3 linked regions of the Sus scrofa genome follow. The protein of the gene in region 3 interacts with the protein of the main gene of each other region in a pairwise test. Links are inferred from orthologs where the notes say so. Each region holds a gene or a part of one and is shown on either strand. Other genes may lie near its edges.

Region 1 (4,321 bases), on a different chromosome or scaffold from region 3:
GCCCCGAGTCTCAGACAGAGAAGGGACTCTTGCTCAGCCTGCTCCCTTCTCCAAAGCCTTCTGGTTACAGCTGCCTGCCAAGCCCAGCCCAGTTGTTGAGGAGCAGGTGACATCCAAGCTGCAGTGTGTCCCAGTCACTCAGGGAGTGTGCAGGGGTTATTGGACTCTGTTTAACTGCCACCCCCCACCGCCACCCCCAGTAACTGCTGTGTCATGGAAGGCACTTCCCCACTTCTAGCTCAGCTTTGCATTTATAAATGAAAGCAAATTAACTGGACCTCCCTGGGAACATCCAGGGCCCTTTACTTCCAGGGTGACTGAGTAATTGCAGGGTTGAAATGGATGGCAATGCTGGGGCTAACATCTGAAAAGCAGAGCAGTTCAAAAGCAAATGTGGGGGCACATTGGCACAGGAGCCCCTCCTGGTTAATAATGAGACTTGGGACATCTGCAGGCACCTGGGGCGGGGTTCTCTCAAGCGGGTGGCAGGCAAAGAAAGCTGAGCTTTACCCACTGAATCAGCACCATCCTCCCAGCTGGCTGCTGAGTCAGGCCCGCAGAGCTGGCCATGCAGCAGGATGAGGCCCAGGGGCACTTTCTGACCTGGAAGTACTGCCCTTCGGGCTGGGCCAGAGTTGGCATCGCAGCAGGGGTGTGCCCTGGTGACGGCTGCCCGTGGGTGGGATGCGATGGCGGGGGTGGCACCTCTGCTGTGGCCAGGCAGGAGGGTTAAGCACCCCGGCCACTCTGACGACCCTGAGGTCCAGTTCCTGCGAGGCCTCCGTGGCTCAGGCGAGGGCCCAGCAAGTCCCCTGAGCTCTGACTCTTGAAGATCCCAAGGCCCAGCGTCCAGTGACCGAGGGGGGGAGGGCGTGGGGGCCAGGGCCCCGACCTAAGGCGGTAGGTTTTCCTGGAGGAAGGCCCCCTGCCTTCGTGCAGCGCCTCAGGACCCTTTCCTTTGGAGGGGCTGGTGAAAGATTTAAACGAGCACACGAAACACACGGAGACAGGGTTTGCACACAGCAAACATTATTCTCGATTCGCGAGGGCGGGAGTCGGCCGCGCGGGGAGCTGACCCGCCGTGCTGGGCGCCCCTCTGCCCCTGCCCGCGGGGAGGGGCAGCCGCCAGGCGCTCGGGGTCGCCGGCAGCCGCGCCCGCGCGGGGCCGCCCACGGAGGGCCCCTCGTCGCCCCTCGCCCCGCCCCAGTGTGGCCCGCGGCCGCCGGCCCGGGACCGCATCCGCGCCGCGGAGGCCCGCTCCCGCCGGCCCTCAACCCAACCCGCGCGGCGCGGGGGCCGAGGGGAGCCGCCCGGCCTCGGTTTCCCGGGCCGCCCCGCCCCCCGGCGACGGGCAGGGTGACGTCACGGCGGCGCGTGGCATTGTGGGGCGGGAGCGCCGAGCCGGGGGAGGGACGCCGAGACGCCATTTTCGGCGGCGGGAGCAGCGGAGCCGGAGCCGGCGGAGCGCGGGGCGGCGGCTGCGAGGAGGAGCCGCGGGAGACAGCGCGCGCGGGCGGCTGAGCATGCTGCGGGGCGGCCGCGCCGGCGCTCCTCGCTACTGACCGCGGCGCCGCACCTGAGGCGGCCGAGGCGGCGGCCCCGGCGGTCCTGCTCCGCGCACGCGCCCGCGGCCTCCCGGTGCTGACAGCGCGAGCGCGCGGCCCCGCGGGAGCAGCACGGTGAGTCGGCGGCGGGCCCCGGTCCTCCGGCCTCCCTCTTGCCCCCTCCCCGGGCCGCCGCCCGCGGCCTCCCGCAGGTCCACCCGCTCCCCTCCCGGTCCCGGTCGCCGCCCAGGCGCGGCCCCCTCCCCGTCACGTTCCCCCAGGTTCGGGCGCCCATCGCGCCCCGGCCGCACCCCGGCTCCGCATCCCCGCTCGGCCCTGCTGCGGCCGGGGGCGGGGCGGGGCGCGGCGGGGGCGGCCGCTCCGGGAGCAGCTGCGGCCCCGGGCGCCGCGGGGCGGGGGACGTGGCCGCGCCCGGGAGCGGGGCGCGCGGCGCGCGGGGAGGGGGCGGCCGGCCGGCTTTGTCCCGGTCCTCCCTCTTCCTTCCGGCCCCCGCCCTCTCCCGCGGCACCGCCCTGGGCGGACGCGCCTGTCAGGCTCGAGGGCGGCCGGCGGCCGGCGGGTCGGAGCGTGCGGGGTCCCTCCCGAGAGGCCGGCGGCACCTCGCCTGCTCCGGATCCCTTTCTTTGAGGCGCCGGGGGCGAAAACGTCTCTTCCACCGTGTTCACCGAGGCCCGAATTGCTCCCGCTCAGCTGGCAGCATCCTGGCCCCGGAATACTTAACTCGGTTGTCAAATTTGGTTCCCCTCTTTCCCTAAAAAATTAAAGTGAAGCGTTAAAGTTAATGCCTGGTGGATTGAATGGTTTTGTAAGTTAAGGTTTGTAGGTGCAGGTAATTTTGTGTTGGAGATTTTGTATTGTTACTGCTTTTTATGTTTTGTTATTTAAACAACATGGAGTTTAGATGCTAAGTGTTTGATAAGTATTTGAGAAAATGATGTTGTGACAAATGTGAGAGTAGCACAGCATTTGCGATACACCATTTAAACTGCTGTGTGAAAGGGCAGTTGGTTCTCTGATTCTTTGCATTAGTTAAACTTCTAGGCTGTTTTTGTACAGCGTGACTAAGCCATGATCAGAATCATCAGCTCGTAACACATTGTAATAGTTAAGTGTAAAAACTCATTAGGAATTGGAACAACCTCTTTAAATGTCATACTCTTATTAGGACGAACCTTTCAGGGGCTGGCCACAAGCCTTAGATAAGATGGGAAATGATTCATCTTCTGTTTCCTGAGTGTTTCCAAGAGTTCAGTGATACTAAATAATAAAAACGAGATTGTTGGGGCTTCTGTGTGGGAGGGTGCCCTCTCTTGAGCCGGTTTCTCCAAGTCATCCCAGACTGCAGCCTCATGTTGCAGTGGAGCCCGGCCGCCCTGTGGTGTTGCTGAGGGCTGTGGGGGACCAGGCTGGTAACCTCACTGCGGCCTGGCTCGTTCCCCTGGCTTGGCAGCGCCTTCTGTAAATGCTGTAGACGGTACGTAGTAAAGGTAGAAGGACATCCGTGGGAATCAGGACAGTGATTGTCGCTAGCAGGGACTAGGAGGAAATGCCACTGAGACGCATAGAATCCTGAGGGTTACATAGCAAACGAAAACTCCGTTGCAGTTACTTAAATTATACCTTCTTAAAAAAAGATTATGCCTTTTTTGGGGGGGAGGGGCACACCCTTGGTGTGTGGACGTTCCTGGGCCAGGAACAGAACCTGTGCCACAGCAGTGACCCAAGCCACTGCAGTAATAACACTGGACCCTTAACTCGCAATGCCACAAGGGAACTCCAAAGTATACCTTCTTAAACATGTTTCATATGGTTGAAAAGTAGGTAAGTCAGTGTGTAGCTTTCCATGTAGACTATAAACTATCTTAAAAACACAATTGTGTAAAGGGAACTAGAAAATAGAGGAGTCAGAAGTGGAATGAAACTTAGGATTCATATGACTGGAAACATAAGTAGAATATGTTAAGAAATCAGGACTTTTAACAAAGAAGTGGTCAGTAATGTCCTGAGCAGAAGCACGGGGAGATTTGAAGTGTCAGTGTCGTGGCATGGACTAAAGATGTTAGCCCATTAGGTTGCGAAAGCAGGGTCTTCAGTGTCTCCTGAGAGCCCCCTGCTGTGCTCAAGTAGTCGGGGACGAGGAGACAGCCGCCGCCATGGAGGAGCTCCATCTGATACCACAGAATAGGTCCTGTACTGTGCCCAGTGCTCCGAGGTGATGCAGGCTCTGAGGCTCGAAGAAAAGTGGGGTGGGACTGGGAGCGGTGGTGCTGCAGATTTCGAAGGGATGAGAGGGAAAGATGGGGTCAGGAAAGGCTTGTACACAGAGCTTAGGGCTTTGCTTTCATCCCGAGGCTAAGGAAGGAGGAGAGGAGGGGCTTAGGAGTGAGGTGATGGTTCACAGGTTCAGAAAGAGCATGGATGGCCTAGTGAGACTGTTTGTTTTTGGTCTTTTTAGGGCCCCACCTTCGGCATATGGAGGTTCCCAGGCTAGGGGTCAGTCGGAGCTGTAGCCGCCGGCCAACACCACAGCCACATCAATGCCAGATCCGAGCCTGCGACCTACACCAGAGCTCACAGCAATGCCAGATCTTTAACCCACTGAGCGAGGCCAGGGATCAAACCTGCGTCCTTGCGAATATTAGATTTGTTTCTGCTGAGCCATGGCGGGAACTCCGAGACAGGTACTCCGCTCTAAGTGGACACTGAGAGCTTTTGCATTAGGGCAGTGGCAGGAGGAACGAGGACAGATGAGTGAG
Region 2 (3,638 bases), on a different chromosome or scaffold from region 3:
CACGGAGTCCACCTCTCCCCGAGGCCTAGAACCCCTCAGCTCGGGCCTTGGCAGAATCAGTGGGTGGAGCAGGCCCTTATCCTGCGGGTTTTGAGCTCATTCAGCCCTCAGAGTCTGAGGTCCCTCCCATCTGTGTGTCCTTGGACAAGTCCCTTAACCTCTCTGAATCCGTGTCCTCCTGAGGCGAAACCCTGCCGCCTGTGAGGAGGATTCGAGGGCCAGTGCTTGGTGGACAGCAGGTACTCAGCGAGCGGCACTCATCCCTGTTTTCCTGAGAAGAGGGTGTTGGCTGAACTGTCTTTCCCGTCACCTAGGCCTCGGCCTCCTGTGGGCCTCACACCTGGGGCATAGACCAGCTAGATGTAGCCCACGAGGGTGGGTCCCAAGTGAGGCAGGCAGGCTCCTCTGACCCACGTCTGCCCCAAGGCGAAGGCCAGCGGGAAGAAGCTGCAGAAGGTGACTCTCAAGGTGTCGCCACGGGGGATCATCCTGACCGACAGCATCACCAACCAGCTCATTGAGAACGTGTCCATTTACAGGTACGCTCAGCATCGTCCACCCTCTGCCGCGCGGGCAGTGGATGGAGTGCCCTGTTTGAATCTAGGCTCTGCCACTTCTGTCTGGTCACCCTGGGGCCTCCAGTTTCCTCATCTGTACACGGCAGGGGGGACAGGACCTGCCTTGGGGTGCTGCTGTAAGCCAGGGGAGCATTCAGCGCTTCGTAAAGAGTGCTCAGCTAAGAGGCAGTTGCTGCTGCCATTATCACTAGTTGCAGCAGGCCTAGGACACCCCTGCCCCCCGCTGCCACCCCCACAAGCGTGCTGCTGAGTCAGGCTTGGAGCTGAGAGCTGCATAGTCACTGCCTTTTTTGCTAGGAATGCAGCAGCTCAGCTCTGGACATCTGGCCAGGCGTCCAGGGAGGCTGCAGGCTGAGTCTGAGACCAAAGTGGAGATGATCTCTTTGGGGGTGGGGGCTGTTCTCAGGGAGGCAGGACCCAGCCCCAGGAGCCTCAGGCTGTCCCTGCCTCTCTTGGCTGGTCAGTTGTAGGATTTCGGAGCTGAAAGGGACAGCTCAGGTCCATTTTCCAGATGGATAGCTGACTCCCAGAGAGGGAACCGCCCGAGGCTTCATGGTGAAGTGGTGGCTGAGCTGGGACCAGGACACTGAGACCAGAGTTCTGTCCAGCAGGCCCTCCACCACCAGGCCTCCCTCCACCCTCTTGCTTCGTCTCCAGTCAACCAGGCTGGCTCAGTGGGCTGGAGCACTAGCCCATACTGGGAATGTAGGTGTGTGTTGGGACGTGGTTTTAGAATTTCTAGGGGGTGTCTTCCTCTTACCTTCCTGATTCTACCTGCCTTCTTCAACCAGCATTTTCTAAGTACCTGCCCTGCTAAGGTCTGTGCCTGGTGAGGAATCAGACCCAGACCCTGCCTGCAGTGAGCTTCCAGCCTGGGAGAGATGGAGGGGGAAATAGGAGGTAGAGTGTGTTTCCTAAAAGGGCAGAGCAAGAGGGGCCTGCCTGGGGGAACCTGGGAAAGCCTCTCATGGGAGGTGGCACCTTGCCAGGGTAGAATAGCAGGATCTAGTCGATTGATACCAAGGACCCAGGGCATTTAGGACAGGCAGCTGGATCCCCTGGGCTGGAGAAGAGGTAGCTGGGAACCTGGCACCCCCTCTCTCTGCCCATCTAGGGGTTTAAGTGGTGCTGATCCCTATGTCAATGCCCGTGATTGAAGTGGGGGCCACATGAGGTCAGGGAGTCTGCTGAGCTCCTGTCCCACTTCTGGGCTGCCAGTTCCTCTCCTGATTGGAATTCCCAGGATGACTGGAGGCAGTGTGGTGGGATCAGACAAGGTGGAGGGGTGGTGGCAAGTGGTTCCCTCCTAGGCCCCCGCCCTACCCCCAGCTCCTCTCCCCCTGCCACAGCTCTAGGAGAACTTGTCAGACGTCTTAGTCACCCTGGGGGAGAGGGGACTGGGGCTCATCTGACCTCTGGGCAGGGGTGTGATCACAGGTAGGGCAGGGGTGGTGGGCGGGGTGGTGTCCTGCCTCCCCTTCCAGCAGAACCCTTAAGAGGACTTGCAAAATCTAGCCTGGTGGTCTGAAACTGTTAGCCTTAGTTTTCTCACTTGAAAAGTGGAGAGAATAACAGAACCCCTCTCAGAGGGCAGTTCTGAGAATTCAGTGAGGCGCGATATGTCTAGAAGGTTGCCTGGTGTGCTGTCTTTGCCCCCACTCACTCCTTCCTGCCCAGCCTGGGCTTCCACCTCCCCAGAGACAGCCTGGGATACCAGGCCCAGAGTCCCGCCCTGGTGGAGTGGGATGGCAGGCTCTCTGGAACTCAGGGGAGAGGCTCTAAGGGGCATTGCAGGTGAGGTGAGGCCCCTGTGCTGGAGTCTGGTGACACTTCCCCCTTGCCTTTCAGAATCTCCTACTGCACGGCAGACAAGATGCACGATAAAGTGTTTGCCTACATCGCACAGAGCCAGCACAACGAGAATCTCGAGTGCCACGCCTTCCTCTGCACCAAGCGGAAGATGGTCAGTGGGGAGAGGCTGGGATCCAGCCGGCTCTGGCCCTGCCTTGGCAGCCCTCCCCTGGGGTTCCTGTCTGGTGGGGGAGGCAGGACTCAGAGATGACAGGGATTGGGGGCTGAGAGCTGAGGGCACCGTTTAGGGCTGCAGTCCAGTGGGAGGCCTGTCAGGATGGGCTGCCCTTGGCTGGCCTGTGGGCAGTGACAAGCCCATGTTCCAGTGCCCTGGGCCCTTCCCTCTCCACAGAGTAATTTGATGGATTTGAGATTTGGGAGGGGTCCTCCTGTCACTCGTATGGTCTGGGGGTGCAGGGCGTTATGAGGGATTAATCCTTGGAGACTGGCGATCAGAGGGGCCCAGGGTGAAAGGCAAAGGCGAGAACCCTCAGGGGCCCGGGCTTGCTGTGGCCAGAGCAGGAAGTGCAGTGGCCGTGTTGTGGTACCTCATCTGTCTCTGTTTCGGTGGTGATCCTTAAAGTATCGTCTCATTTAATCCCCAGAACAACTCTGCGAGGTGGGCGCTGTTACTGTGTTCCGTGTTTTATTTTCATTTTTAATGAGGAAGCAGCCTCACAGAGGTCCGCTGTCTTGCTAGGGAAGATGACGAAGCCAGCCAGGCAGAGTGAGGGTCTAAACCTAACTTTCCTCCCTCCCGCGTGACTGTGAGGAGCCAGGAGCCCCCGCCCCACATCCAGGCCACCCTGAGCACAACTAGCTGGGACAGGTGGGACCTTGGGGGTCCCTGGGCATTTGCTTTGGGCATCATGGCCAGCAGCTGGAGTGAGTCAACCTTTGGCACTGAAGCTTTTGTTTCTGAGCCTCTGACGTCTGAGCACCCACCCTGGAAGGAGGTTCCTGACATTTATTGATTTGGATTTGGCTTCTGTTCACCTCTCTGTCTGAAGCCCAGAGCTCCAGTCCCTGTGGTCCTTATGGCCAACGAGACAAGATTCTCTCCCCTACCCCGTCCAGGGACACAGCCAGGACATCCCAGGCTTTCCATGTCCCCCCACCACCACCCCCTGCTTCCTGCTGCCCCTCAGGGCCTCTTCTCCAACTTCAGAGTCAGCAGTGAGGAGCACCGTCCAGCCACCCTCTCTGCTT
Region 3 (4,231 bases):
GGTGGGGGTGTGTGAGCATCACAGAGCAAGGGGAGAACTGAGGAAGTGTGAGGGCGTCACCTGCAGGGACGTTCACTGGTTCCAGCAGTCGGGTCAGGACCCGGCTGGTCTGGTTGAGCTCCCTTTGAAGCACCACACCAGGTGGAAGGCAGCTGCTAGGCTGTCACCAGTGGGCTCTTGATCAGGATTCATGCCATCTGTGTGGCTGCCAAGGCTGAAAGTGTCAGTCTTAGGTTCATGGTGTCCTCAGACCTCACTGAAAGGAAATGCAAATCAGGTGGCTAAAAGTGGGAGAAATAAGGGCCTATGGGAACTGGCAGAGTACAGGCGTTTTCGTCGTGGTGCAGCGCTAACGCATCCCACTAGGATCCACAAGGATGCAGGTTCAAACCCTGGCCTTGCTCAGTGGGTTAAGGATCCAGCGTTGCTGTGAGCAGTGGTGTAGGTTATAGATGCGGCTTGGATCTGGTGTGGCTGTAGCTGTGGTGTAGGGTGGTAGCTGTACCTCCAATTGGACCCCTGGCCTGGGAACCTCCGTATGCCGCGGGTGCTGCCCTAATCACAAACCAACAAAAAAATCTGGTAGAGTCTAAGGAAAATCAAATAGGACAAGTGGAAGTTAACATGTAACCACAGAAGAGTTCCTGCTGGGGCATCACAGGATTGGTGGAGTCAGGAGTGCTGGGACGCAGGTTCCATCCCTGGCCAGTGGGTTAAGGATTCGGTGTTGCCATAGCTGTGGCTTAGGTCTCGACTGCCTCTTGGATCTGATACCTGGCCCAGGAACTCCACATGCCATGGGGCGGCCAAAAATGAAGAAAAAAAAAAAAGTGAAATGGTAGATGGAGTCCTGTGGTGGCACAGCAGGTTGAGGATTGGGCACGGTCACTGCTGTGGTGCAGGTTTTATCCCTGACCTGGCGACTTCCACACGCTGAGGGTGTGGCCAAACAAAAATATATATCTATCGAAATGAACTCAGTGTGTGGGTTAGATGACGCATTGGTGAAATGAAACTGAAATCTGCATAAGTTACACAAAATCAAGACACCGAAGTGGAGTAAATGAGCGTTTGTTGCTGGATCTTAGGATGAGACTGGAACCCCAGAGGGGACAAGTGAAGGGCAGAGAGCTCTGAACACCTACCGTGTAGGCGTGCGTACTGCGGTGACGCTGCAAAGGCAAGTCAGAGGACAGCCAGGTCAGCATCCTGGACACCTCAGGAGGGAGGGGACAGGCGCCCAAAGATAATGGCCCTTCCCTCGGGGCGGGGGGAGGGGGCACGCGGATGCTCGCCCAAGTCCAGGCCGTACGGAAGCATTTGTGCACACTGCGCGGACGCGCGGCCCCTGGTAAAAATCTACGCCGTCAGCGTCGCGGGAGCTGACCGACAGCGGCTCTGACAAGCCTGCCGGAAGCGTTCCCTGCCCAGCTTCCGGCCGGAGACGGACTTCCTCCTACGTCAGGGCACCTGCGACCCCTAGCGGCGGGGCGCCGGCGGGACGGGCGGGCACCGCCCTCGCTGTCTGGAGGGCGGGACTTCCGGGCGGCGGGACTTCCGGCTGCTGAGTGACGGGCGCAGCATCAGCATCGGCGGCGGCAGCGGCTGAGCCCTGAGGCAACAGCGGCTGCGGCGGAGGCGACGGGCTGCGGCCTGCGGACTCACGGGCAGCCGGGGCGGGCGAACGCGCCGGCGGACAGCAGGCCGCGCTGGCGGCGGCGGTGGCCGCGATGATGGAGATCCAGATGGACGAGGGCGGCGGCGTGGTCGTGTACCAGGATGACTACTGCTCCGGCTCGGTGATGTCGGAGCGGGTGTCGGGCCTGGCGGGCTCCATCTACCGCGAGTTCGAGCGCCTCATCCACTGCTATGACGAGGAGGTGGTCAAAGAGCTTATGCCGCTCGTGGTCAACGTGCTCGAGAACCTGGACTCCGTGCTCAGCGAGAACCAGGAGCACGAGGTGGAGCTGGAGCTACTGCGCGAGGACAACGAACAGCTGCTCACCCAGTACGAGCGGGAGAAGGCTCTGCGCAAGCAGGCCGAAGAGGTGCGTGGGCCGGGCCGCGCGGGGGACCCTCGCCCCGCCCGTGGGCCCCGCCCTCAGCCCCCGCCCTGGCGGGGCCCGACTCCCGCCCCGCCCACCCAGCCAAGCCCCCCGGGGCACCCCCCCCGCCGGGCCCAGGGGCTGAGCCCTGGCTCCCCCTTCCTCCCGGCCCGCTGCTCCAGCCAGGAGCCCTGACCCCTAAACCACCTGGCGTCACGGGGGAGAGCTTGCAGCGCGAAGGGTCTCAGGCCCCAGTGTCCCATCCTTACCCACCTCTCATCCCAAACGCCAGGTCTTTTTGCTTTTGTGTGTGTGTTTCGCAAACGTTTCCTAGACTCCAGGTTGCTGCCGTTTTAAAGTCTCCGAGAAAAAGGAGGTTTCTGATCTTACGGTTCTGCAGCCAGAGGCTGTCCGTTGTCAGATCTGTGCCTTGTCTCTGGGCCGGTGTTTTGAAGGTCTGTGACCCGGGCGAGTTTAAGGATGGATATGAACACAGAACCAAAGCCTCGCTGGCACCTGGTGAAAGACCTCAAGTTTATGGAGGTGGTTTCTTTCCCCTGCGTTGCCCTCCCTTGGGGAGGTTGTTAGCTTCTGTGAAAAGGCTGAGAAATTGCACTGTGGCTTCCGAGGAGTTAAAAGGAGAATTTGGAAAGAGTGTATTCTGTCCTAGATATTCTATCTTCCTAAATTGGACGTCATGTCTTTGTGAGCCACTTAGAAGAACCACACGCATTGTAAGGAACCCCACTTACCTTCATTCATTCACCGTCATTTCACGCTCTATGCCAGACCTAGGCGGGTCCGGGGATGTGGGCTCTCGTCCCTGCTTTTTGCCTCTGTGACCTTGTCCACGGCGCCTCTCTGCCCCGGATTTTGCATTTCCGTCCGTCCTGTAGTCACTCGCCCTAGATGATCTCTGAGCCCTGACATTCTGTGCCACCCGTCATTGGGTGATGCTTTTCCATTGAGGAATAGGAAGTTTCTTACTACATGTGCTAAATTCCCCTGTAATTAATTTGGGTCAACACCTTCTTGACTTGAGTATTGAAGTGGATTGTTCCAGTGTTTCGACTTTTTCTCGAGCCCAAGCAGTGGGTGGCCTGGTTTGGTTTAAGTGTGTGTGTGCGTGAACGTTGTCTTGTGTCATTCTTGCTTCCGGGGACCCACTGGCTCTTGGGTTTTGTGCATCTGTCAAAGGACGGTTGCCTGCTGGGGCTCACAACTGAAGGGGATGCCCAAGCTTGTAGGATTTCGGAGTTCACGGTGGCCCTAGGCATTTCCTGGGGAAAGAACAGGGGGCGCCGGGGGGGGGGGGGGGGGGGGGGGGGGAGGGGTCCCAGGTCACATGCCCCGGAAGGACCAGGCGGGGACCCAGTGTGGCCTGACCCCTGGCGTGAGCTCTTCCATGATGCCGCTGTGGGCGGTCAGAAGCCTGACGCGCCGGGCTCCCCTCCCCTCCCCCCGGGCAGTGCCGCCCATTTTGGCCTGTCCTCAGCAGCCATCTGATGCCTCACGGTGGGTTTCAGGAGGGTTTCCTGCGTCCCGTGCCCGTGTGGTCCGTATAGTGGCCTGGAAGGAAGTCCGGGGAGAAGGATGGACGGCCTTAAGGCTGAGAACCCTCACCTTCCGACTTCACCCTCAGCTCTGGGTGGGCGAGGCCGCGCTCTGCTCCGTGCAGTCCAGGGGCAGCCCCAGCCGAGTGGGCCCCTGGCCGCCCGGTCGCACCCGGGGCCTGAGAGCTGAGCAGTCTGGAGGAGACTGGCTCCCTGCCTCCGCTGTTGAGAGAGGCGGAGCCGCGAGCCCCGGAGCGGACCCGGTTTGGCAGGCCGGCCAGAGGCTGTGATGTGACACTAACGGTGCCCTTAGAGAGACCTCCCGTGTGGCCGAGTCCCGCCACCGGGTCGGCATCCTGGCTCACTTTCCGCGTCCAGCAGACGCCCCTCTCCTGTTCCGTGGAAGAGACCGGTCGGGGGCGGGGGGGGGGTGCTTTTCCAGACACAGGGGCAGAACGGCCTGGCCTGGCAGTGGCTCCTGGCGCCCTGGCCGGTCTGCTTGGGAAGGCGTTTTCAGAGGCCGTAACCCGAACCGCCTGCAGCCTCTGAGTGCGCGCAAGCTGCAGGCTAAAGAAGAGCCGGGAGCAGAGCAAGCACCCCTGCCCCTGCGGCACGCCCGCGATAGGCTCAGCG

What was found.
Region 1: the proteins of MAPK8IP3 (region 3) and KLC1 interact in binary tests that used the Homo sapiens proteins (3 or more experiments, as listed by UniProt). The link is inferred for Sus scrofa from reciprocal best matches to the Homo sapiens genes MAPK8IP3 and KLC1.
Region 2: the proteins of MAPK8IP3 (region 3) and LDLRAP1 interact in binary tests that used the Homo sapiens proteins (3 or more experiments, as listed by UniProt). The two-hybrid records come from large-scale screens. The link is inferred for Sus scrofa from reciprocal best matches to the Homo sapiens genes MAPK8IP3 and LDLRAP1.

What each region holds. Positions count from the first base shown.
Region 1 is NW_018084979.1:2,151,892-2,156,212, forward strand, and holds the start of KLC1 (kinesin light chain 1), read left to right. Parts: upstream 1-1,414; 5' UTR 1,415-1,679; intron 1,680-4,321. UniProt on the Homo sapiens protein: Kinesin is a microtubule-associated force-producing protein that may play a role in organelle transport. The light chain may function in coupling of cargo to the heavy chain or in the modulation of its ATPase activity.
Region 2 is NC_010448.4:83,040,493-83,044,130, forward strand, and holds part of LDLRAP1 (low density lipoprotein receptor adapter protein 1), read left to right. Parts: intron 1-426; coding exon 427-539; intron 540-2,426; coding exon 2,427-2,541; intron 2,542-3,638. UniProt on the Homo sapiens protein: Adapter protein (clathrin-associated sorting protein (CLASP)) required for efficient endocytosis of the LDL receptor (LDLR) in polarized cells such as hepatocytes and lymphocytes, but not in non-polarized cells (fibroblasts).
Region 3 is NC_010445.4:40,238,613-40,242,843, reverse strand, and holds the start of MAPK8IP3 (C-Jun-amino-terminal kinase-interacting protein 3), read left to right. Parts: upstream 1-1,392; 5' UTR 1,393-1,730; coding exon 1,731-2,048; intron 2,049-4,231.